Linked DNA regions of Drosophila melanogaster. The protein of the gene in region 3 interacts with the protein of the main gene of each other region in a pairwise test. Each region holds a gene or a part of one and is shown on either strand. Other genes may lie near its edges.

Region 1 (5,028 bases), on a different chromosome or scaffold from region 3:
TGCTGTTCCGGAGGGGCAACGATCGCGGTGTGCTGGGGGCACTGAGCAGCTGCGGTTCCGAGTCCTTTGATGGTTTTGGACTAAACAGCCTCTTGCGAGCGGAAGAAGGCCCCGCAATTTGGCACTTGTCTTCCATCGTCGGAAAGTCTTCTATGTCCTCTGAAAAGGAGGGTAACGTAGGCGAGGGGGAAAAACGCTGCAGGTCTCCCGTACTGGTGCTTTGCGATATCAGACTGTCAGGATTTTCGGTGGCCGAGGAAACATCAATTTCGGCACACAGTTCCTCTATGAGCTGACGCTGCTGATGATCAAACTCGGCCTGCATGCGACGACGTTCCTTCTCCTGGTGAATGACCAATTGATTCATTCGCTCCCGATGGCCACGCAGATAGTTGCGCACTCCTGCCTTGCGGCTGGCTTCCAAAGCGCCATGCTCGTCCAGCGCCCGTTCTATTATACGCTCCACCTCGCGATCCCGCCTAGAACAGCTGCTGCCGGCGGTTGTGGTTTTAGTGGCGATGGTGCTCTTGGTTGCGGCGCTACTGTTGCTATTGTAGCTGTTGTGGCTAATTTTGCTGCTAATACTCCTTGCACTACGGTTCACCCGCTTGGCCTGAGACTCGATGGTCTGCTTCTCGAAGTTGGCCAAACTCTGGCTGGGTTTCACAGCCAGGGCCTCCCTCTCCATGTGCTCCACGAGAACCTGGGAGGGCTCCTCTAGTGTGAAACTTCTCGAACGCTGAAAATTAGCTGGTTCTGCCAGTGGACTGCCGAGCTCCCTTGCCGTTGTGTCCTTTGTATCCTGATCCTGCTGGTCTTCGGCTACCGCAGGACTTGTGCGCAGGATACACTTATCTGGAACTTTGGGCAGCAGCTTACCCAGTCCCGACTGCTCGAACTGCAGGATACGATCGGTAATGCGATTATGCCGCCTTGGGGAAGTGTTTTCTATTGATTTCACAAATGGTTGAGGCGTGGGAGGATCCACCTGTATGGTGGGCAACTGTTTGCCAAAGACCAGAGTCTGAGGACGAGCCTGGCCCCGTGTGCTGTCATAGATTAACGTTTCTGTCTGCTGCAGCTGTGACACACTTCTCCTACTGGCCATGTCGGATCCCGCCGAGTGTCTGGCCAGGCGGTACCGCTTCTCCAGCGCTTCTGCCATCTGGCGGGCCAGCTGCACCTCGCGCTTCTTGGCGCTCGTCATCTGGAACAAAGTAAAATGGTTACGCCTCAGTAAATGCCACTCCCTGACCAAGAATTTAAATCACCAGCGGTGGCAGTATAGGCTGCCCGTCCAAGTGGAACCGAAAGGAGACAGGGTCCATGGAACTAGAGCCACTGCCCTCGGAGGGGGCGCTCCAGATCGATATGGTGGTCGTGGCCGTTGGTGTGGTGGCCTCGCTGTGGCTACCTCCCATCTCAACTGCAGACAGCAGCTGCTCCATTGCCCTGCTTAATTGGAGAAGCATTAGATTGAGCAAAATCAGTAATTAGAAGCCCGTAAGCAACCGGGATTCATAAAATCCCAAGACCCACTCACCACGTCGCATCCATTGGTGTTTTGCTACTGGGAATTTTTGTTGGGACGTCGAAATGTCAGGAAGCCTTCTCAGAGGTCAGCTGAATCTAGGTGTTTTGTGAAAGTTCATTAAATGTCTGCTATGTTTTAGTTGCCATTAGAGATGACGATGGCACTAGGGAGCCCTCGACTTCCCGCCAAAAATTAGGAAACCTCTGAAGAGTTCATTACATCAATCAAATGATATCCCGAATCGTTGAGAGTTTTGTATTCAATGTTTCTACCGTGGATCGCAGCTACCATCAAGAGCCAATGAGAAATGCTGCTTTAATGCTGGGGAAAACATTTATTTTCAAACGGCAATTCAAAACTCACACGAAGTCCATGCAGCCCTGACGTCAGATATCGATAACCGGACTTTTGGAAGTAGCGTTTTTAGAGAAAATTTGAGGACTCCACAGATTAGCAGAGGAACAAGTTTTCAGTCCTTCCAGAATTATAGTAAAGAAAACGGTGGATTAAATTAGTGTTCAGGAACTTATATTGTATATTTCGTATGCTTCAAAATCTTGTCAAAATTAAAGAAACATTGTCTGCGAAAACTTAACTTTTATTGGTTCTTAACAAACTAATTTGAAACAGCTGGCCGAATTCAACAGTTTACTAGGTGGTTATCGAAACTGGTGTGGTACATTTTGGTATTTGATTTGCGCCGGATGGTATTTTCCTTCGCCGTGCGCGCGGTCACATTCACTGGATGTGTTTTTTTGCGCTGATTGTTGCTCTGGCGCGATCGAATTTGCCTGGAATTCGGGAGTCAACATAATATTTTCGAAAGTCACCAGCTATAGCGAAAAGTATGCGAGTTCTATTACAGCTTGTCGATATGTTGTGTTCGTAACTTCTGTTTGCATATGTTATGTGTGTGTGTTATCTAGTTACAAAACGATCTAAAACCGTTTTTGCAAAGAACGTCCGCAAAACTGAGTTTGTACTTCAAATATGAACTATTTGCGGTTTATATTGCTCCAGATTTCTCTCTTTAAAGTTGCATTGTAGATGCAGTCGTGTGTGTGTGCGTGAGATGGGAGTGCAATTTTTTTTCAACAGTATCAGCTTTGTTTTTTAAGTAGAATACAAGTAATTTTTACCCCTAACTTTATTCCTAGCCCCTTTCCTTTATAAAAATACGGTAAAAGTGTAAGGAAAACAAAAACAAAAAGCGCAAAGTTTCGCACATATATGTGTACATATGCATACACACGCTGAGTGTGGTGTTTCTGTATTGTTTTTTTTTTTGTGTTTCATTCTGCGACGCAATTGAAAAAGACATCGAAGGCCAAACAACTTGGTGTTTTTTACGTTTTGTATGGCTGTAGTTGCTGTTGTTGCTGCTCAGTTGGGCGTTAGTGTTTGGCTCCGTTCTTATTATTATTATTACAACTTTTCCACGCGCTTCGCTCTCTGTTTCTCTTCCACATGCTTGCTTTCGTCCTCTCCCACGCTGCATTGCTGTCTCACTCGCACACAGCCGGTAAGCCAAGCAGCAAACAGCAACAACAACAGCAACGGCGGCGACAATAAATTATGAAAAACAAGGGAATAAGTTGATGAAATAAGTATTTCGAATTAAATGGTTAATCACTGGTGGAAAAGTCGCAGTTCCAATGACACCTTTTCCATGCTGAACTACGGAGTTTTTTTTTGTTCTTAATCGGTATACGTTTGTGAAAACAAGTGCGCTTGTGTGAGTGAGACAGGGCCTCAAAAGCCAGAAAAACATGACAAAAACATTTTGGTAAATTGCCATGTATCCGAAATAATGCTCATGCAACAGTTACATATAAATATTGTTATTTTATTTTCTACGCAGTAGTCGCGGATTTTCAACAAAGAGCAATCATAGTGATGGTATAAAAGAGGGGAAGGACGAAAGCAAAGAGAGCAAACCGAAAACAGTTACTCTGCCCATGCGCACAGCTGACCCAGAACCTGGCATAACGGTAAAGTAATTGTGTCGTACAACAAGCGAAACTTGACAGCGAAAGGGAACCGGAAGTCGCCTAAAATCGCGGAGCGGAAAGGAAATCAGTCCGCCAACCGCGGGAGCTGAAAATCGAAATCACAACCCACAAAAGCGATTCCAAAGTGCTATCTTGGTGCTACTCCCATACAAAATGTTCCAAGTCCTGCCCCGTCCGTCAAGATCCACGTTCCACTGCATAGCGGCAGCCGTTGTCACAGTCGTCCTAATGTCATGGTAAGTCGAAGTAACAATCCATCCAGAATTTTGCCATTAATTGATCCAGCTTTCCTAGAAAACTGACCTCGTATCAAAAAAAAAAGGGGAATCTTAAGACCCTTCTAAGCCCATATTTAAAACTATAGTTTTCAATTCAGTAGATAGGCACAATCAGAGTTTATTGGCAAGATAGTTCTTAGTACTTAATTACTGGTAAAAGTGGCAATTTTCGTTGATCGATAAGTTTGAAACGTGCGGCGTTTAAATTTGAGGAATAAGACAACAAATAAAAAACAATAAAATTTGTAGGCATTACGGGGAGTCCGTCCGTTTTTGGAAAATGTGAAACAGGTACATTGGATGAATGTCCATAGTTGTAATCTGATTTCTGTTAAAAGTTAACAATTGTCGGCGGGTTTTAATTAGGGCAGTAATCTCAATAAATAGCGACACGTAGTGCGTATATTTACGCACTAAATGATGTACATTTTAATTGGGTCGAGCGGGTCCGAATTTCTTCCCAGCCAATTCAGTCTCGTTCCCATTGAAAGAAAGCTGCGCAGCAAAGTGAATATGTAAAATATACTGTGTAAAATCGTATGGTCGGTCACACAAGACAAATTGTGGAGCTGTAGGTAGGAAAGAAAGAAAGAACCTCTTTGCGTGGCCAATTTCGAACTGAAAGTTGCAATGTTTTATTTTCGGAATATATGTGTGTGCACACAAAGATTGTTCCACATATGTATGTATGTAAAAGCGCACCGAAATGAAGCTCATGTGCATGCACATGGCCATCCAAATACAGCTATGGCCAAGACCGTGAAGCACACATTTAAAAAGCGCCCGAAATTAGCATTTTGTGGTTTGTGGTCCTTTCTTTAGTTCCTATTTATTTATTCTTTTATTAAAACTACAAAAATGCATTTTTTTTTTTTGTAATATCCACAACTTGTGAAACTAAACGTGATTACTGTTTATTTATCAGACTGGGCAATTTTTAAAAGTAGTATTATAACTTGTTTGCGCACTTGTTAAACTGATAAAAAGTGTATCAATTTCCGTTCAATTCCGCTGATTATAAATCAGTTCTATTGACTTAGGCTCCGCTGTTGGTTGCTGTGTGTATGCCGGCGATCTTTTGTACGTGCTTGCACCTTCGTTTTAGCTGACTGAAAGGCCCCACCCTTCGCCCCGTTGCGCCGTCCTTGCTTTATATAAATACTCACTTGTACATAAAAATGTCACTCCATGCCCATGCACACCG
Region 2 (6,150 bases), about 15 Mb from region 3:
CGACATCCTTAAGTGACAAATCCAATGCCAGCCAATAAATTATTCGAGTGGCTGATATTCCAAATTGAATTAGCTTGACGATAAAGTGACAAAGTGTCCATCGCAGCTGAAGAAGATAATGCCGGCGGACCTGAGATAAGCCGAAGACGGTGGTTATATACGAACAAGGTGTTTGTTTCAGTCTTTTACTTTTATCTCTTCATTTTCCAGGCAAACCTCGTGGACACCCTGTGCGCAGATCATGGCTCCACCACAATCAGGCGAGATAACCATCACTTTTTTAGGCTGCGCAACGGAGAACTGACTGGAAGGGGAGTTCAGACGGAGGTGTGCGCCAACGGAGGTGATTCGGTCCTGGCCTGGATTCCCTACCACACCGTGCTCAAGAACTATGCGGCCGAGCTGAATCCCAAGGAGCGACTGACATACATTGCCAAGGCCACGAACGTGGAGCGGGAGAAGACAGAGCTCTGTCACTTCCGACACACGGATCTTGTCAATGCGGTGTCCGACAATCTGTTCACCTGTGTGGTCATGATTTTTGGCGATAACTTTGTAAGTTCCTCGGGAAGATGGTTCGGTTGATGTCCTACAAATATGTTATCTTTATAGTATGGTCTTGAGGATAACATTAACGTACTGGTGGAACTGGAACCTTTGGCATACCAGCTGAGGAACATTACTTACCTGCCGTGGCGCAATGTGACTAACAGCTACAAGATGCACCTGGGTGACAGTGTGCTCCGAAATCCCAGTGGCGAACGTAAGCCCATTTACGGTAGCCTGAACTACGATTTTGTGGAGAAGATCCTTGTGAACATGTCCAGTGTGTACCAGCATAGGAAGCTATCCAGGCTGCCTCTGCTCTTCGAGCACCGGTCCTCTGTTCTCGAGTTGGACTTGTATGGTATGGGTGGCCTGGATGTTGCGGAAAAAGCCTATTTCGGACGAAGCATGGACCCCAGGAGCGAGGTGAAGGTGCAGGTGATTGGTCAATGGGTAGACCAGCATCGGGAGTTCGACGCCGACATATACGAGTACTATGGCCATGGGCTGAGACGCTATAAGGAAACTCTGACCGGGGCCCGGCTCACCTTCATCCGAATAGATTATACGGAGCCGGTTTTCATGGCTCCGGAGTCTAGCAACCTGGCCAAGGCCTCGCTTTTCCGAGAGCCGAAGGTTGGCCAGATAAGGGAGGATCCATCGGGCAACTATACCGAGTGGGAGAACGCACAGGAAGAGGATTACGATGAGGAAGGTCCAGGATTCTACTGCTGGTTTGTGATTACTTGTCTGCTTTTGGCCCTCGCTATTATCCTGGGCATATACATTGTAGTAAGCGCTCACAACAGGAGAACCAAGAAGCGCCACATGTACGAAGTGGCCAACACGAATGTGCCTCCACCCGCCTAAAAATTATGGACATTAAGTTAAGTTTTCTAAATCAGAAAATAACACCAGGATCAACAGGTGTTTTCAGTTCGAAATGTCAGTTTAAAAAACGAGTTGGCAGCTCAATTGCTATGTCCTCGAATTAAAATTTGTGTGTTCGTTTTTTGGGTTAGATTTATTAAAAATTTCGGCTTGAAAATGTTAATGTGAGTCAAAAAACTGTTGTGTGTTTCATTGAATATGTAAAGAAATCCCCTGGTATGAACGGCAAGGAATGGCTCTAAAATCGAGAAATTAAAGAGACTTGTGAGCTGAAGGACCCACATCAAAAACCTAAGTTGTAAATAGAGAAAAGGTAAGTTTCAATGGAATTTCATGCCTTAAACATAAGAAGTTTTAAGTATTAAAAAGAAATCTAGAAATCTGAGGAAATAAACAAAATGATTTCCGACCGGCATGCGTTAGGGATTTCTGTCTTTATACCACGTTGGCAGCGCCATTCACAACACGCCTATCATCTCACTCACACTCGCACACAGAGAAAGACAGATAGAGGCAGAAGTTCAGTTCATCAATTCATTCATCTCATGGAAGAACCTTATTGATAACGTCGCCAGAGATAGCTAGTGATTTCATTCGATCAGGGTCCCGAAAGACCCACTGGTGTGCACTTGTTTTGGTTTTGAAGTTCGCATCTCTGGGAACGTGTGTGTTTCGCCCTGAACCACAAATATGTGAGTTCCGAATGCGATTTGTGTGACGCGGCCATATTTAAAGAGTTTTTTGTGTTGAATGTGGGGCGAGCTGCGAAAATTACATAAATACAGCGCAGGTGAGTTCATTTTTGTTGCGGGAACCCGGTCGAAAGGTGCTCTAAGTGCGGGTGCAAGTGAATCGAAAACAATATTTACCCAATTCAAGTCGGGAATTATGTATTTGTTTCGTTTTTTGGGCCTAAAAATCGCATTTTTCGCTCACACCAACACCAAGATGGTAAATTGTGTATAACAATATGGCTGTCTCTGTCTGGCACAAGAGCTACCAGACGTGTCGACAGTCCCTGTTATTAACAGCGGGTTAGCAGGTCATTTTACAACAGATGAAATTATTCTGAATTTTAATTGACCATTTTTTGGCGGGCAAATCATAACAAACCTCGTACTCATGCACCTTTCGGGGATCCGCTCATTCTAATGGTTATTTTAAATTAAAAAAAACTGGCCCATTGCAGCCTCCCCCTAGGAACACGAAGTGATGGATCGCAAGAAGGTCCTGGAGCTTGACAAGATCTGCCGCCTGTGCATCTCGGAGCGCAAGGAGATGCGCCCGCTGTTCAGCGAAAAGGTGCCCGAAATGCTGATGGACTGTACCAGCGTGCGGGTGGAGCCCACGGAGGGCTGGCCGGACAAGATCTGCGTGCAGTGCGTCCACGCCGTAAGCCGGAATCACGCCTTCAAGACGCTCGTCGAGCGCAGCGACAAGGAGCTGCGCGAGTATATCCGCGGTCTTACCGTGGCACTGGTAATGGAGGAGCAGCAGCAGCAGGAGGCGGCAAACGCTAAGCAGCAGCTTCAGCTGGAGCGGAAGCAACAGCGACAGCTGCAGAAGCAACAGAAAATCCTCGAGGAGCAACTCCAGCAGCAGATAGTCCAGCAGCAACAGCATCAGCCTCCTGCCAAACCAAAACTGAAGCCGCTGCTCCGCAAGGGCTCCCGCCAGCAGAAGCAGAGGCATTTGGAGGCCGCACCAGCACCACAGTCAGTCCCGCAGCCCGCCCCTCAGCCACAGATGCAATTAATGCAGGAACATGCGCCGCAACAGCCCACTATGCAGCAGCAGATCCAGCAGATTCATATGCCCACACTTCAGCCTGCTCCCGCCCAGCTACTGTCCGCTGCCGGTGCCACCACGACTATGCCGCAGCAGATCCTGTTGCCCAACGGCCAATTGATAACGACTGCTCAGATTGTAGCGCCGCAGTTGGCGCAGATCATCAGCACAGCGCCGCAGTCAACGACTAATGGTCAGGCCACCGCTGCGCAATCGCAATTCCTGCCACAGCTTCTACAGACGCCGAACGGACAGACGTTGCAGATTGTTCAGCAGCCCAATGGCACGCAGACCCTGCAGCTGGTTCAACTTGTGCCGCAACGCAGTTTGGCTCCGACCGGAGTCACGACAGTGACCACAACTACCAACGCCACGGATATGGGTCAGCATGTAGGCGCTTCTCTCGGTGATGCCGACGTGCAGTTGCTGGAGGACGGCTGTGAGGTGGAAGACGAGGAACTGGAAGATGTGTACGAGCAACTGGATAGCAAGGCAGATCACAGCTTTGAGACTATTGTACTGGACGACGATCAGCAGCAGGACTTCCTAAAGGACCACCACGAGCACCACCAAGTAATGATCAACGAGGATCTCACGCAGAGTGAAAGCCAAGACCATGAGTACTTCGACGATTTGGACCAACAGCAAGCAATGGACGAGATAGAAGACGAGGAGGAGCAAATGAAGCCCGAAGAGGACCAGGATACGTTCATAATCGAGGAGATTCAGCTGGAGGATGACGAGATGCTCGATGATCCGGATGGGGAGGAAATCGACCAGGATTGTGAGTACATCGGTGAGGAACAGGATCCGCATTTGTCCGGCGACGTAGACGACGATCTGGAGTATTCCATTATGGAGCCGCCGGATGGCGAGACAAGTGTGGACATTGACCAGGCATTCATGGATTCTGAGCAGTCGCATCATCAGCAGCACCAAGAAGAGATGCAGAGCATATCACTGGAGAACGCTGTTGTAGAGTTCAGCCAGGCCACAACTACAACGGAAGCCCTGGTGGGTCCCACTATGACCGTCAGCTCGGCCAGTCCGACGCCAAAGCGAGCCAAGCGAAGTAACCACCAAATTCCAGCCGGTGTGACTCTGGAACCCTGCGACCACCAACCACCTGCCGCTGGATCAACGACCAGCAGCAAGCTGGCCGCAGCCAACTCTCGCCAGTTGGTGCAGACGGCCAGCGTGATTGCAGCCGCCGGTGCGGACGACAACTACGAAATAGATGCTAATCTGGTAACTGAGTTCATACGACAGCACACCTCGCCTCTGGGATCTGGGAGATACATTTGTCACCTGTGCAGCACCGAGTTCCGGCAGTTCAAGGGCCTGCAGAACCACATGCACTCCCACACCAACTGGATACGGGCCAATTGCAAGAAACAGCCGCAGTGCCAGATCTGCCTAAAGAGCTTTAAGGGCCCAGGAATGCTGCGGATGCACATGAAGACGCACGACGCTGAATCCAGCACACCGATGTGCACCATTTGCAATCGAACCTTCAAGTCCAAGGCGATCTTGTACAGGCACAGACAGACGCACCAGCAGAGAGCGTATTGCTGCGGCGTGGCCAACTGCCGAAAGAACTTCTCGTCCGCGGTGAACCTCAAGTGGCACGTAGAACGCAAGCATCCGGAGGTTGTGGATCCGCTGTTCAAGTGCGGCGAGTGCGGATCTTTGTACGACAACGTGGACTCACTGCAGCTGCATGTGGAGAGCACGGATCACAGTGCAGAGGTGCAGATCAGTGGCCAGGACGATGCTTTCAGCGGGGCGGTAAGCATCGTCAGCAACGGCACCACCGACATGTCGAACATGATGGCAACCGGCCAGGGTACGACTTTGGCCGGCGGCACGGGCGATACCCACGCCGTGGTCATGGGCTCATCCGGCGAGGTGTACTTCGTGACGCAGGCGTAGCCAGCGGAGTTTGCCGCAGCGGGCGCTCCTGGAAACGGCGAGTGCCTGCTCGGCATTTAGATGACCACTTAGATGTAATATATATACATATATATATATATATTTTTGTACTACCCCCGTCTAGATAACAATTTAGGAATAAGCACAACTACACAAATATTGCAATCCTAGATTTCTGTCGTAGAACTTGTTTAGTAGGACCTAAGCGATTCACTCGAATTTTGTAAGCAGATACGAAACTTTAGGTAGGCAGATCGAGGCGGATCCTCACATCCAAACGCTTGGGGCATAAATCCTGCGTGGACTGTGCCAGTTTTTGTTTTTAATTTTATTACCCTACTATTATTATTTTGTTTTCCCGGGGAATACAGACTGGCATTTTAGGCTAAACGTATTTTGGCGTTGGGTTTTCATTGTTGGGCTTTGAAATAAGTGAATTTGTTTTAACTGAACAACAAAATAAATTAACAAACCTTCTATGAAACCATAATTTGTCTTTCTTGTACGTCCCATCTGGCCGGTAATATTTATTTTTAAGCGTGTAATCCAATTCGCTGGCTTTGTTGGCTTGTTGTTCAATTGCATTGACAGAAGACCGGGAAAAAACAGAACCCAAACAAAATTGATCGAAAGAAAACAACAATCAAGCCAAGGTCTTGTCTATTGATTCCCAATTGCCACGTGTCGCGTTCATCCGGTTATGGGAAGTATCTGGATAACTACGATTCGCGTATGGATGCTTATGTAAATCTGTAAATGCCTATTAGTGTGATTTAGGTACATGTACATACATATATATTATATTATCCATAAAAAGTGACCCCCCAATAATCGGTTATCTGATCGCAGTCTGAAATCTCCGGCTGTCACAAGAAATTGTTAATTAATTAGCAAATAAGCCGCGAAAATAATCAATTGGAATAACATTGTGACAGCTAAAATCGCCAGGCGTTTATTTGTTTTGTTCAGATTATATATGGCGGTCAGCCGCGT
Region 3 (4,450 bases):
TTAAAATGAGAGGTTACAAAATATATCACTATCTTGTTATATTGATTTGTCAATTAATATACTTCGAGTGACTAAAATCCATTTAGCCGAATTCGCCTGCACTCGCAGTAGGCAAATCAAGAAAGTTAAAGGTGGCGGTGGCACTCTAGTGCGGCTCCCGCCATTCGGAAGCCAAACAGAAACTGAGGCGGGAAAGTTCGAAGCGTGGAGCTGGTTATGCTTGACAGAACTGAAGCGAAATCTATATGTCTCCGTTTGCCAGATGTTTAGCCGCGGTGTGTGTCTTATCGAGAGCGGAGTTGGGTCTAATCGACCACCGCCTCTCAAAGCAATTTACCAACGATCGAATTAATGCCGGTAAGATTGATTCAGCTCGATTGCGTCAGACACTCGGCACTGAATGACGCCATCAACATCACCGGATGAGCTCAGTTTCCGATGCGGAGTGCAGGATCCTGACTTCCACTATCAAAATAGAAACCCTAAATGCATTGCTCACTTTGTGTGAATCTTAAAAGTATAGGAGCTATATACCGAAAGACAGCTGAACTGACCCTGTTAGGCAAATACATAGTTACAAATACAAAGTTACTAGTTTAAAAATCACAATTTTAATCAGTTCGGATTGAACCCTTTGTATAATCGGAAGTATTCGTTTCATCGGGATACGCTTTTATTTCTCCTGGGAGCATCAAAAACTTTATACAAGATTACTGTAAAGGAATATTGGCGCCCTAATAATATATTCAGAATTCTACGAAAGTATTCCTTAGTAGGTGTAGCGAACGCGCTGCTTCCTGAATCTTCCGACCAAGTAAAAGGCGGCAATCATCATTAGAATCTGTAAAAACTCTGTAAGATTAGTCCCTCCATGTGTAGTTCACACATTTCACTCACGGTTATTCCCAGTGCTATCCAGTTGGTATCGTGGGCGTAGCTGAAGAGCACCACAAAGTTCTCACTGGACTTTTGGACGCAACCAGCTAGATAGTGGGGCATCTGGGGGTCCTCCTGGGGATAGCAGCTGGGCGGCAAGGTTTGACGACCGATGGCCACGTAGTCGTCGGGGCTATCACGCCCACAACACTCGTACTGTTAAGATAATTCATAAAAATGATAAACGATAATGCCAGCATATTAAATATATTCGATTAAAAGTGCATGATGCGAATGATCTTCGCCAGAATACGAACCACTGTCTGGTAAATGTCCATGGCGCCGGGTTCCACCAGCTCCTCGTCCCATTTCATCTGAACCTCCTCGGCGGCGAACTTCTCTATGTATTCCTCAGTGAACTTGAAGCGGAAGATGCCTAGCAAGCTGATTATTAGCTGAGCCAACAGCAAGAAGCCGTACTGTTGACATACAACACACAACATAGAGTGAGTGAATTACCAAACGGATGACATAGCGTTTCCACTCACCGTTGCGGTCATGCACACGTTCTCCATGCAGATTCCACAGCATCCCAGTACAGCCGAAACGAAGATAATGCCACCGAGTCCATATAGAAACAGAATGTAGGCGATAGGGGCTTTCGAGAGGGCCAACGTTGCAATGGCTATCAGGGATAGACCCGAAAGCTACAGAGGGAGCATAGGGTCAATTCAGATTAGCATTTGGCAATGATATCGGGTGGTAATGTCAATGACTCCAATGGAGCTTGAGGTATTTTCAAAATATTATCAAATGCCGCGGTGAAGAAACTAGATTTTCCCGTTTATCTGGGCACTGGAATCTCTGTTATTTGATTTGGTGTTTCACAATAACGTTCGCTCTCTTAGTGCTAAATAATGAGTTATTTTTAAAAGGATATGGATAAAACAAGTTTTTGGCAGTTAAAAATCTTGTTTTCTTCCATAATCTTCCATAAATTGTAAATATGGTACAAATCGCAGCATATGGTAAAGTCGTAAAGCATTTCTAGATCAAACAAATTGAATTTGGAATGTGTTGGGGCTAATCATTAAAGTGCGGCAAATGTTTCTCATACATATCTGACAAGCAAATTACGTTTACTGGCCAAACAAATTTTCGATTCCATGAAAACGGAATGCGTACTTGCTTGTCGATTTGCAGAAAAATGTATTCATTTAAATTCCTGTGGGAACACAGATGGCTAATTTACATTTGTAATACATTCTTATAGCACAGAATTACCAATTTTTATTCATATGCATGTGAATATATGCATATGTTAAGAACTCACCGCGTTCAGAGTATTAAGAGTGTTAAGGAAACACTTAACGCAACCGGAAGTGCAGCCCATCCTAGTGCTACGATTAAGCTGTTTTTGTAAAATTCCAAACTAATTCCTCTTGAATAATTAGTAATAGAGAGTAATCTTTGTTGTATGATCGAACCTGCCAGATCGGAGTTCCGATAGACAATGAATTTCAGATGCAAATATTTGCCGGCAGCACGTAAAATCCCAAAATCACGATCTGCGCTCTTCAATGTTCTTTTGTTTTTCAGATCTTCGCAGCCGAATGATGCCGAATTCAATGAGAGAGAGATATAACTGCGGGGAACTCGTTTAGGCTATGGAAAGTATTTATTTTCTAATGGCATTTTAGCTAATTTGGTTAATTTTTATTATCAATAATCATGCAGGGGTATCCTCGGCCATCAGTCGTTGATGGGGGTCTCCTCGTCCTTTATCTTGGTTTTGGCATACTTGCGAGCCTTGCCCAAATGGTAAGCGGTGAACAAGCCCAAAAACTGAAAAATACATAAATTGTAATAATATAATATTGATATGGAATCGAAATCGAATAGACAAGCGAACTTTGTTAAAAAAATATTTTACTGTCTTAACGTCCTTACTACTTTATAACTTTATAACATCAAGCAAAAGCTCAACAACTGTGTACATAAATAGTAACGATCGCACCTTTGACATATTTAGTTTAAAGAAAACTTTAGTAACAAAAATGGTTTGAATGAAAAAACACACATCTTATCTTGGCAGGGATTTCTATTTAAGCGTGACGAATAAAAAAGTAGTTAAAATGTGTTCACTGAGTCAGTTGTGTGCGTTAATTCAAAAGTTATTGGATAACTCTTCCATAAGCGACGTGCCGAAACATACCCTTGTGCTCAAGTACCCTTGTGGCAAGTGAATTTTACCCTGCGTATGGTTTAATGTCTCACCTCGAGGGCAATGATCGCCATGCAGCTGTAGTAGTTGAGCTCCGCCTGCATTCTCAGAGTAGCTACCGCCTTGGTGGAGCATCCCTCCTCGTAGACGTGCGCCGGCTTGGAGCAGTCGAAGGCGTAGCAGCAGCTGCTGGGCAGGGCGCCGTGCTCCTCCTGAAGGTAGTCCTGCGGTCCCTCAATGCCGCAGCAGCCGAAGAGGCTGTGCACTGGCTGCATCTTGTCGTCGCTGTGGGTCTTTCGCTCGAAGAGGTCGCGCATGCGCTCCTCGAACCTGCCCATCAGCTGCTCCCGCATCGCCGTGAAGGTGAAGAGGTAGGAGCCCAGGGCGGCTATAACCAGGCCACTGCAAATTAGGTACTGAATGCAAAGAGGTTAGTCTGTGACTTGCAGTTGTGAACGCAGTTTACTCACGTATATGGAATACTTGTACGACACCTTCAAGGCCACGTACATGCCCAGGAAGGCGACTCCGAAAACTGCTCCTCCGCAAAGTGCCGACCCATAGCTGCCGTAGACGGAGACGGCCGAACCCCAGGTGGTCACGCCACAGGAGAAGAAGAACACGTTGCACGTCTGAACGAAAGGGAAACAAAATAGTTAGTTAAGTCCTTAGTACTAAGGAAAATTATGGACTAAATTACTTCCTAATCTATTTCTTCTTGAACGAACATCTTTCTCGCAGAGTTAGAAACTAAAACTAAAAGTGTGGCCCCAATAACTTAATAAATTACTTGCCAAGGTTGTGCGTATGAACTTCAGGAACTAGCTATATGGAATGCATTATTATTTAACACCTACCGATAAGGCGTAATAGTTTTAGGGTTTATTATTTTTAATAGGTGAAAGTTACTTATTAAATCGTTGATCAGCCAGCTTCAAAGTCTAAATATACATTTTGTACTGACCTAATAATATTTTAATGCCGCGACAAGCACTTTAAATAATAAATTGCACGTGTAGTGCTGGGGTGCCAAATAAATAAATACAAGCACGATTCATTAGCGTCTACAGCGTCATTTTTTCAACTTACATTTGGCAGTCAGACATTACCAGCTATCCATCAACTAGTTTTCTAAACTATGGTAAAATGAGCATTAGGCATTTGGCATTTGTACTTGCTAAGCACCAAAATGAAAATCTATGAGACTATAGCATGCAAATGCAAGAACATTTTATGCTTTCATGCTTAATCAATCTCTGACATTTGTAAACAGTGTCCCATGTGCATAATTGTATAAGAATAAATTATATAATATAATAGTGAATTTAATTGGCGTAAGCCACCCAGAAT
Region 4 (6,464 bases), on a different chromosome or scaffold from region 3:
AAGGACGCATCAGCAACGTTAACAATTTGCACAAAGTGCTTAGACATGTGAGGATGAAAACTTTTCTTAAGGCTAACTTACGTGGCAGTGGCAGATGAGGTAAGGAAGTAAAGAGAAATCCCACCACCTGGAGGGGAAAAGTATTGGGTCAGCTTAAAGGGGAGCTTCCGCCGTTTCTCGACATGCACGTATGTAATCCCACCTATTGATAGACTTGTTCTTGCCGAAAGCAAGTTACATTTTTAATTGTCTATCAAAGGGGGCTATTTATAAAACAAAAGATTCCGAAATGTCCTTGCTGCTGACTAATCTCAAGGGAGGACATGGCTGGCGAACTGAGAGAGACATTGGCAGGGGTCAAAGGGCAGGGGAAGGAGAATAGGGGGCCTTCCCCACACAACAATGTGTGTATATATGTATGCATTTTTAATGAAATTTGCCGACGATTTGCGCTCGAAAGCAATTTTGAAGCCCAAAAACGGAGGCAGCAACAGTTGCAACTGCAACACACACGCAAGCACACACTCCGCTGTTGTTGCTGCTCCTGCTGCAGGATCACGTGTGCGGCATACGAAAAATTAATGCAAATTTGCATAATAAACAAACAAAATAAGCGGCGAGGATGGCAGGACTTGCAGGACCAGTGGCAGAATTGATTAAGTTGTTGGTGTGCAATTTGTGTGTTGACTTTGCTGGCACAATTTCAGCCACATCATATTCACCATCTCCTTTAGAGAATCAAAATATACACCATGCTATATAGTTTATTGTTTTATATGCTGTTTATCAAATTGTGCATCTTCTTAAAGCTACTCTCTCAGCATTGACCTTCTGCATTTGTTTGCCCCCCCATATGCATGCAAATAAACAACACATATCTCACACACACACACTCGCACATCAAGTCGGGCTAACACCGACATTGACGTCACCTTTGCTTACTCGTGGGCTGGGTTAAATTGCCGGCACAGAATTGTAATCAGCTTCGAGCCCAATAAACTGCATGAGTGTAAATTTCCGGAATGTAATCGCCCCCAAATCAAAATAGAGTACTCGATGGCCTTCGAGCACTTAGATGGTACAATCGGGTATTTGGGCTGGAGGATTTGGGTATCAATAGCACACGGCTGGCAAAGGTCTAAATTGGGCACGGTCAGAGTTCAACACGGCAAAAATTCCAATTCCAATTAGAACACCAAGACGAGGTTTTCAAGTTTTTTGTAAACGTGTTCGTTTTAAATTTATTGGTTTAAAAAAGAGAAAAATGTTTGGTAAACATTAAAGACTTTAAACCTTTTTTGGATTAATAGTTAGTATTAACACTTTGTTTATGGTTTATTTATTAACTTATAAGAAAAATAGATAACAGTTAAAGAATAGTGAATTAATTAACGTATTATTATCATCTACGACGTCAATGGCTTAGAAAAGAAAATAAATAAAATTTAAAATATAGTTTTAAAGACTGATTTATTAAAACAATCCATGGCATTACAAGAAGTATTTGCTAAATTTGAATTTAAAATCGCCCGCCGAGAATCGGGCAATGCAACCCTGGATTGCGGCTCTCTCGCTGTGCAGTGAACAAAATTTGTGTATCTAATCGGCGAGTAAGTAGTATAACAAGCTCAAAGATTGGTCGGTTCCTTTCTGCATTATTTTACAGCTGTATTTTCATTAACAATTAGTTATGCTAAGGGAACTTAAAATTTATTTTTCAAAATTTTCAAACCGTGGAGGGGAAATTGCGCCACGACTTTAAACGCTGAGAATCCAAAATAAACGAGAAGAGCCGTACCGAACTGGTTCGTGGCAATGCTGGGGGCGAACCAGTTCCGACGCTCAAATGAGCGCTGCGACCAGGGCTGCATTGCCACCCTCGAGCTGCACAAAGAAAAATAATTTACTCGCCAGCAGCTCATTGGCGTTTTTTCATTTTTTAAAGTGTACTTAAGAGTTGTTAATATTTTTCGCAGTGCTCGGCCCGACCACAACAAACAATAATAGCCGAATAATAGTGTGAGTGAAAATGCGGCGAGCTGCATTCGGCGCAAAACCAAGTGTTCCGCAGCACCCAAAGCCCAAATCGAACAACTCGAAATCGGAATCAGGCGAAGCCATCATTAGCGAGACATTTGTATTTGTCTGACCCCTCAGCGGTGTCTGAGAATCTCGGAGAGTCGTCGTGGAGCGGTGTGGAGAGGAGAGAGCAGGAGCAGAAAAGGGCCCACAATCCAAGTCCAAGGAAGCACCACTCCGATACCGAACCGATATGGGTAGGTGTATACGGTCTATACGGTCTATACGGTCTATACGGTGTATATGGTGTACATGGTGTGTGTTGTATGTAGGTGGTGCATGTAGATATGTAGTCGTGAATCGCACGATATCGGGGGGTTAAGGTGGAGCCCCGTTTTGGGGTACAGCCGATGCAGGCCAACTAGGAGCATTTGTGCGTGATGCGCGCACTTCAAGTCGCTGTCCTGCCTACCTGCCCCGCCTCCCCCGTCACTTGCCCATCGACTCGGCGAACGCAACGCCACCAGGGCTGCAGCACAGCGTCGCTAATCGGCTGCCGTCGTCGGTGTTATTGTTGTTGTTGGAGGTGTCGGTGGTAGTGGTGGTGGGTTGCAAGAACGAATTGAATATCGAACAAAGGGCTCGTTGCCGATAGTTGGTTCGAAAGGAGACTTATGAATACATTCATTTTATGGCACTAAAATATGTTATGACCATTGGAAAACAGCTTTTATTATTTTTTTGAATCAAATAGAAATTGAAAATAATATAAATTGAAACCATTATTAACATAATAATGAATATCCTAAATTAATTTATAAACTTGAAAATTACAAATGTCATGTCAATTAATAATTTATCAGAAAGAAGCTGCTTATAAAAATTAAAGTAACCAAAAGAATAATAATAAAATTTGATAGTTTGCTTAAAACGAAAAAATAGAAAAAACGGAAGTCACTAGATCTAATTTGATTTACATAGTTATTATTATTGTGCACAATGCAGCTTCTTTACTAAACCCTATGATAAATATAAATACAATAATATTGCGACAAGTGCATTTAAGACAGAACTGAAAGACCCAGCCCTGGTAGGCGCATACAAACCCAAACCAACCGAAAATCAAATTTGCATTTGTTTACGTTCGCCCCAACATGCTATAATCTCAATTCCCCACTCGCAGAAACCGAGTCGATGGCTCCAAGCAGCAGTGCGGCGGCTGCAGCCACCAAGCTCCTGGTGGAGATCACCACCGACGGAATACCCAAGCTGCACTGCCCGGTGTGCAACAAGGCGCTGGTCTCCCTAGCCGGATATGTGAAGCACGTAAAGAAGCACCAGCCGCCGGGCGGCTTCGAGTGCCGTCACTGCGATGCTCGGTTTTGCCACGAGGAGGAGCTCACCCAGCATGCAAAGGATGAGCACGGAGTCACTGGCGCGGTAGCTGGACAGGAGCGAAAGCCTTTCGTTTGTGAAAAGTGCGGCGCGGAGTACAAGTACCAGGAGGCATACCGTCGCCACTGCAGGACCAAGTGTGGCGAGGAAAAGCTACCCAGGGTGAGTAGAACCGAAACAGTGGAACCGTTTGTAAATATATTAATAATAATTACTTTCTCTTCCTTAGGAGGAATCCCGACCAATGGAGTGCAAGTGCTGCTACACCCGCTTCTCTAGCGCCTCTAACCTATCCAAGCATCGACGCAGTCGTCCCGACACCTGTGGACAGCCGGAATACGATTCGCCCGGTTCATCCGATGGGATGAAGAAACATAAGGCCTTCCGCAAGAAGGACAGAAACAGGGACTCTGATGATGAAGATACCACCAGCGAAGAATCGGAAGATAGCGATGATGACATTCCTCTGGCCAGTCGTCTGAAGACGAAGCTCAAGCAGGAGAGCCAGAACTCGGACTCGGGCGACGAGTGTCCCGACTTCGAACCCAACAACAGTGAGGACGATGCGGATGCATCCGGATTCCAGCTTCCTCCGCCGGCTATGGTCAAGGTGGAGGCCTTCGACGAAGAAGATTTCGAGTACCAGGACGCCAGCATGTATGTGAAGACCGAAAGCACCGATATCTTTAGCAACGAAAAGGATAAGCTGCTGGATGTGCTGCTCAATGAGGGTGATGGCTTAAAGCCCTTTGAGAGCCTAAAGGTGGAACAGGGCGCTGGTATACTAGACGAAATCGCGGCCGTGCCGCTAGTGGAGGTTGCGGAAGAAGATGTCTTAGAACTGAGGGGTCATCAAATGGAAAAACCTCCCGGACCAAGAAAGCGGGGCAGACCGCCAAAGGAAAAGATACCTGTGGTCAAGAGAAAGTATCGCAAACGAAACGCACCTAGATCGCCCTCGCCTGACGATTCATCGGGTACACCAAAACGCGTAGCTAAGATCAGCAAAAAGGAGCTAAAGGAGCGCCTTAAGATGATCAACAAGATGGAAAAATCCTGGAAGTGTCCTCACTGCGTAAAAATCTACCACATCCGCAAGCCCTACGAAAAGCATTTGCGCGACGACCACAAGTTAAATGAGGCGGAAATGAAAGAGATCTTTAAGGACGTGGACGTCCATGCTAAGCTGGACGAGGAAGTCTTTAAGTGTCCCATATGCAGCAAGATCTATTTGGTGGAGAAGCGCTTGGTCACCCACATGAAGGTGCATGGCGAAGATGGCAAGCTGACTTTCAAGTGCCCATGCTACTGCAACCTCTTCTTCGCCACCAAGGAACAGGCCACTGAGCATGCTAGGGCCCAGCACAAGGAACTGCTCTACTGCGAAAAATGCGACAAGTACATGACCGGACACGACAGCCTCAAGAACCACGAACGCAATTTCCACTCGAAGAAGGAGCCGCGCAGCCAGCAGCGCAACCTCATCTGCGACAAGTGCGGCAAGAAGTTCACCGGACGCACATCGCTCTCTGACCACGTTCGTTCTGACTGCGGCCGTCTACCGCTCTACGGCTGCAGCGTTTGCGGCAAACATTTGTCCACCGCTGGGTAATAACTATTTGTGTTTGAATGTTTATTCTAAGACTGTTAGTAACGCATCTTCCTTTCCGCAGTATTCTCAAGACGCACATGCTCCTTCACAAGGCAGACACTCCGTACCAGTGCGATAAGTGCGGCAAAACATTCAAGGTGAAGGCGCAATACAAGTCGCACTTGAAGACGCGCCACACGGACTACAAGCCGTACAAGTGCCACCTGTGTCCCAAGGAGTATCCGTACAGGGAGAGTCTGCTCACCCACATGACCGTGCACACGGGCATTAAGCGTTTCCTGTGCAATAACTGCGGCAAGCGCTTCACTTGCATCTCCAACTTGCAGGCACATCGCAAGGTGCATGCCGATACCTGCGGCCAGTTGCCTTTGAATGCCAAGGCCACCCAGTACATGGGCGTGCAGCGCGGAAAACTCTTGATGGGCGCTAAGCCGGAGGCGGGCATGGAGTACGAGGAGACCAAGACCTTGATCGCCCAGGATGTCATCGACAGGGACATGCCCATGGCACAGGAGCTCAACTTCCCATCTGACGGCTCAGCGCCATTGGCCACGGTGCCCCTGAACTACGCCTCCACACACCTGGTGCCACACATCGTACTGCAGACCATGCAAGCCGAGGCCCGGCGAATGGAGTAACTTCGGAACACATTCATTTAGCGATCCCACTCAATAAAGATTCTTTTGTAAACGGATGCGTATTCTACTGTACAACAAATGGGATGACAACTACATAATAATATCTACTTAATGACTGGATTAATTAAATAACATTGAACGTAAATAAGCTACATAAAATTGATGTAGATGAAGGTTTAACGCCATACGGACCTGTCAAAAACATTTAAGAAAAATAAATTTCCTTATAAAAACACGTTTCGGAATTTATTCGTAATAGAGAAAATTAATTATATGGGATTTGTTAAAAAAATCTTTATATTTATTTACTTTTTACTTGTTTATGTATTTTTATATTGACTAACAGCCTTACAAACTATATTTCTTAATGTCTCGACTCGCTAGTTCAGTCTGAAATAGGGCTGCTGGTATCTGCCTATGGGCATCCGATCCTTGGTCCTCAGTCGTCGCACTGCCTCTCGTATGAATTTGGGCTGCAGGGCACCGGATTCACCTTGGGCCTCCATCACGTCGAGGGCTTCCTCCACAACCTCGCCGACGAAGACCTTCGCAATGCCGGACATGGCTATCACAACATTCTGGGACACGGAACAGCCGGTGATAGTTTGCATTAGACGCTTGACGGCGGCCTTGGGAAAGGCAGAGCGACGATACATTTCGTAGCGATCCAGCTGTTCTTCCGTAAAGTTGGAAACGAGAACCCTGGAGTGGAATAAAATAGTTTTTATAGGATTACCCCTTCGAATCGCTTTAAGCTAACTTACTGCATTCGTTCGCGCTCCTCCTCCTCCAGTTCCTTC

The links.
Region 1: the proteins of Tsp42Ek (region 3) and CG12576 interact in a two-hybrid assay, tested with the Drosophila melanogaster proteins (one large-scale study listed by BioGRID).
Region 2: the proteins of Tsp42Ek (region 3) and CG10321 interact in a two-hybrid assay, tested with the Drosophila melanogaster proteins (one large-scale study listed by BioGRID).
Region 4: the proteins of Tsp42Ek (region 3) and zf30C interact in a two-hybrid assay, tested with the Drosophila melanogaster proteins (one large-scale study listed by BioGRID).

Annotation. Positions count from the first base shown.
Region 1 is NC_004354.4:22,479,266-22,484,293, reverse strand, and holds the start of CG12576 (uncharacterized protein), read left to right. Parts: upstream 1-1,936; 5' UTR 1,937-2,189; exon of another isoform or gene 2,190-2,212; intron 2,213-2,266; exon of another isoform or gene 2,267-2,379; intron 2,380-3,395; 5' UTR 3,396-3,699; coding exon 3,700-3,782; intron 3,783-5,028. Other genes in the region: Cp110 (centriolar coiled coil protein 110kDa), read right to left, coding at 1-1,207, 1,272-1,452, 1,544-1,557.
Region 2 is NT_033778.4:21,632,755-21,638,904, forward strand, and holds CG10321 (uncharacterized protein), read left to right. Parts: upstream 1-1,924; 5' UTR 1,925-2,227; intron 2,228-2,626; 5' UTR 2,627-2,649; coding exon 2,650-5,157; coding exon of another isoform or gene 5,158-5,217; 3' UTR 5,218-5,645; downstream 5,646-6,150. Other genes in the region: CG15674 (uncharacterized protein), read left to right, coding at 211-555, 613-1,416.
Region 3 is NT_033778.4:7,040,851-7,045,300, reverse strand, and holds Tsp42Ek (tetraspanin 42Ek), read right to left. Parts: upstream 2,629-4,450; 5' UTR 2,270-2,628; coding exon 2,210-2,269; intron 1,584-2,209; coding exon 1,425-1,583; intron 1,356-1,424; coding exon 1,194-1,355; intron 1,093-1,193; coding exon 898-1,092; intron 842-897; coding exon 770-841; 3' UTR 591-769; downstream 1-590. Other genes in the region: Tsp42Ej (tetraspanin 42Ej), read right to left, coding at 2,629-2,721, 3,154-3,516, 3,571-3,732.
Region 4 is NT_033779.5:9,756,478-9,762,941, forward strand, and holds zf30C (zinc finger protein 30C), read left to right. Parts: upstream 1-1,864; 5' UTR 1,865-2,272; coding exon 2,273-2,276; intron 2,277-3,202; coding exon 3,203-3,576; intron 3,577-3,643; coding exon 3,644-5,022; intron 5,023-5,087; coding exon 5,088-5,664; 3' UTR 5,665-5,898; downstream 5,899-6,464. Other genes in the region: Taf11 (TBP-associated factor 11), read right to left, coding at 6,045-6,366, 6,429-6,464.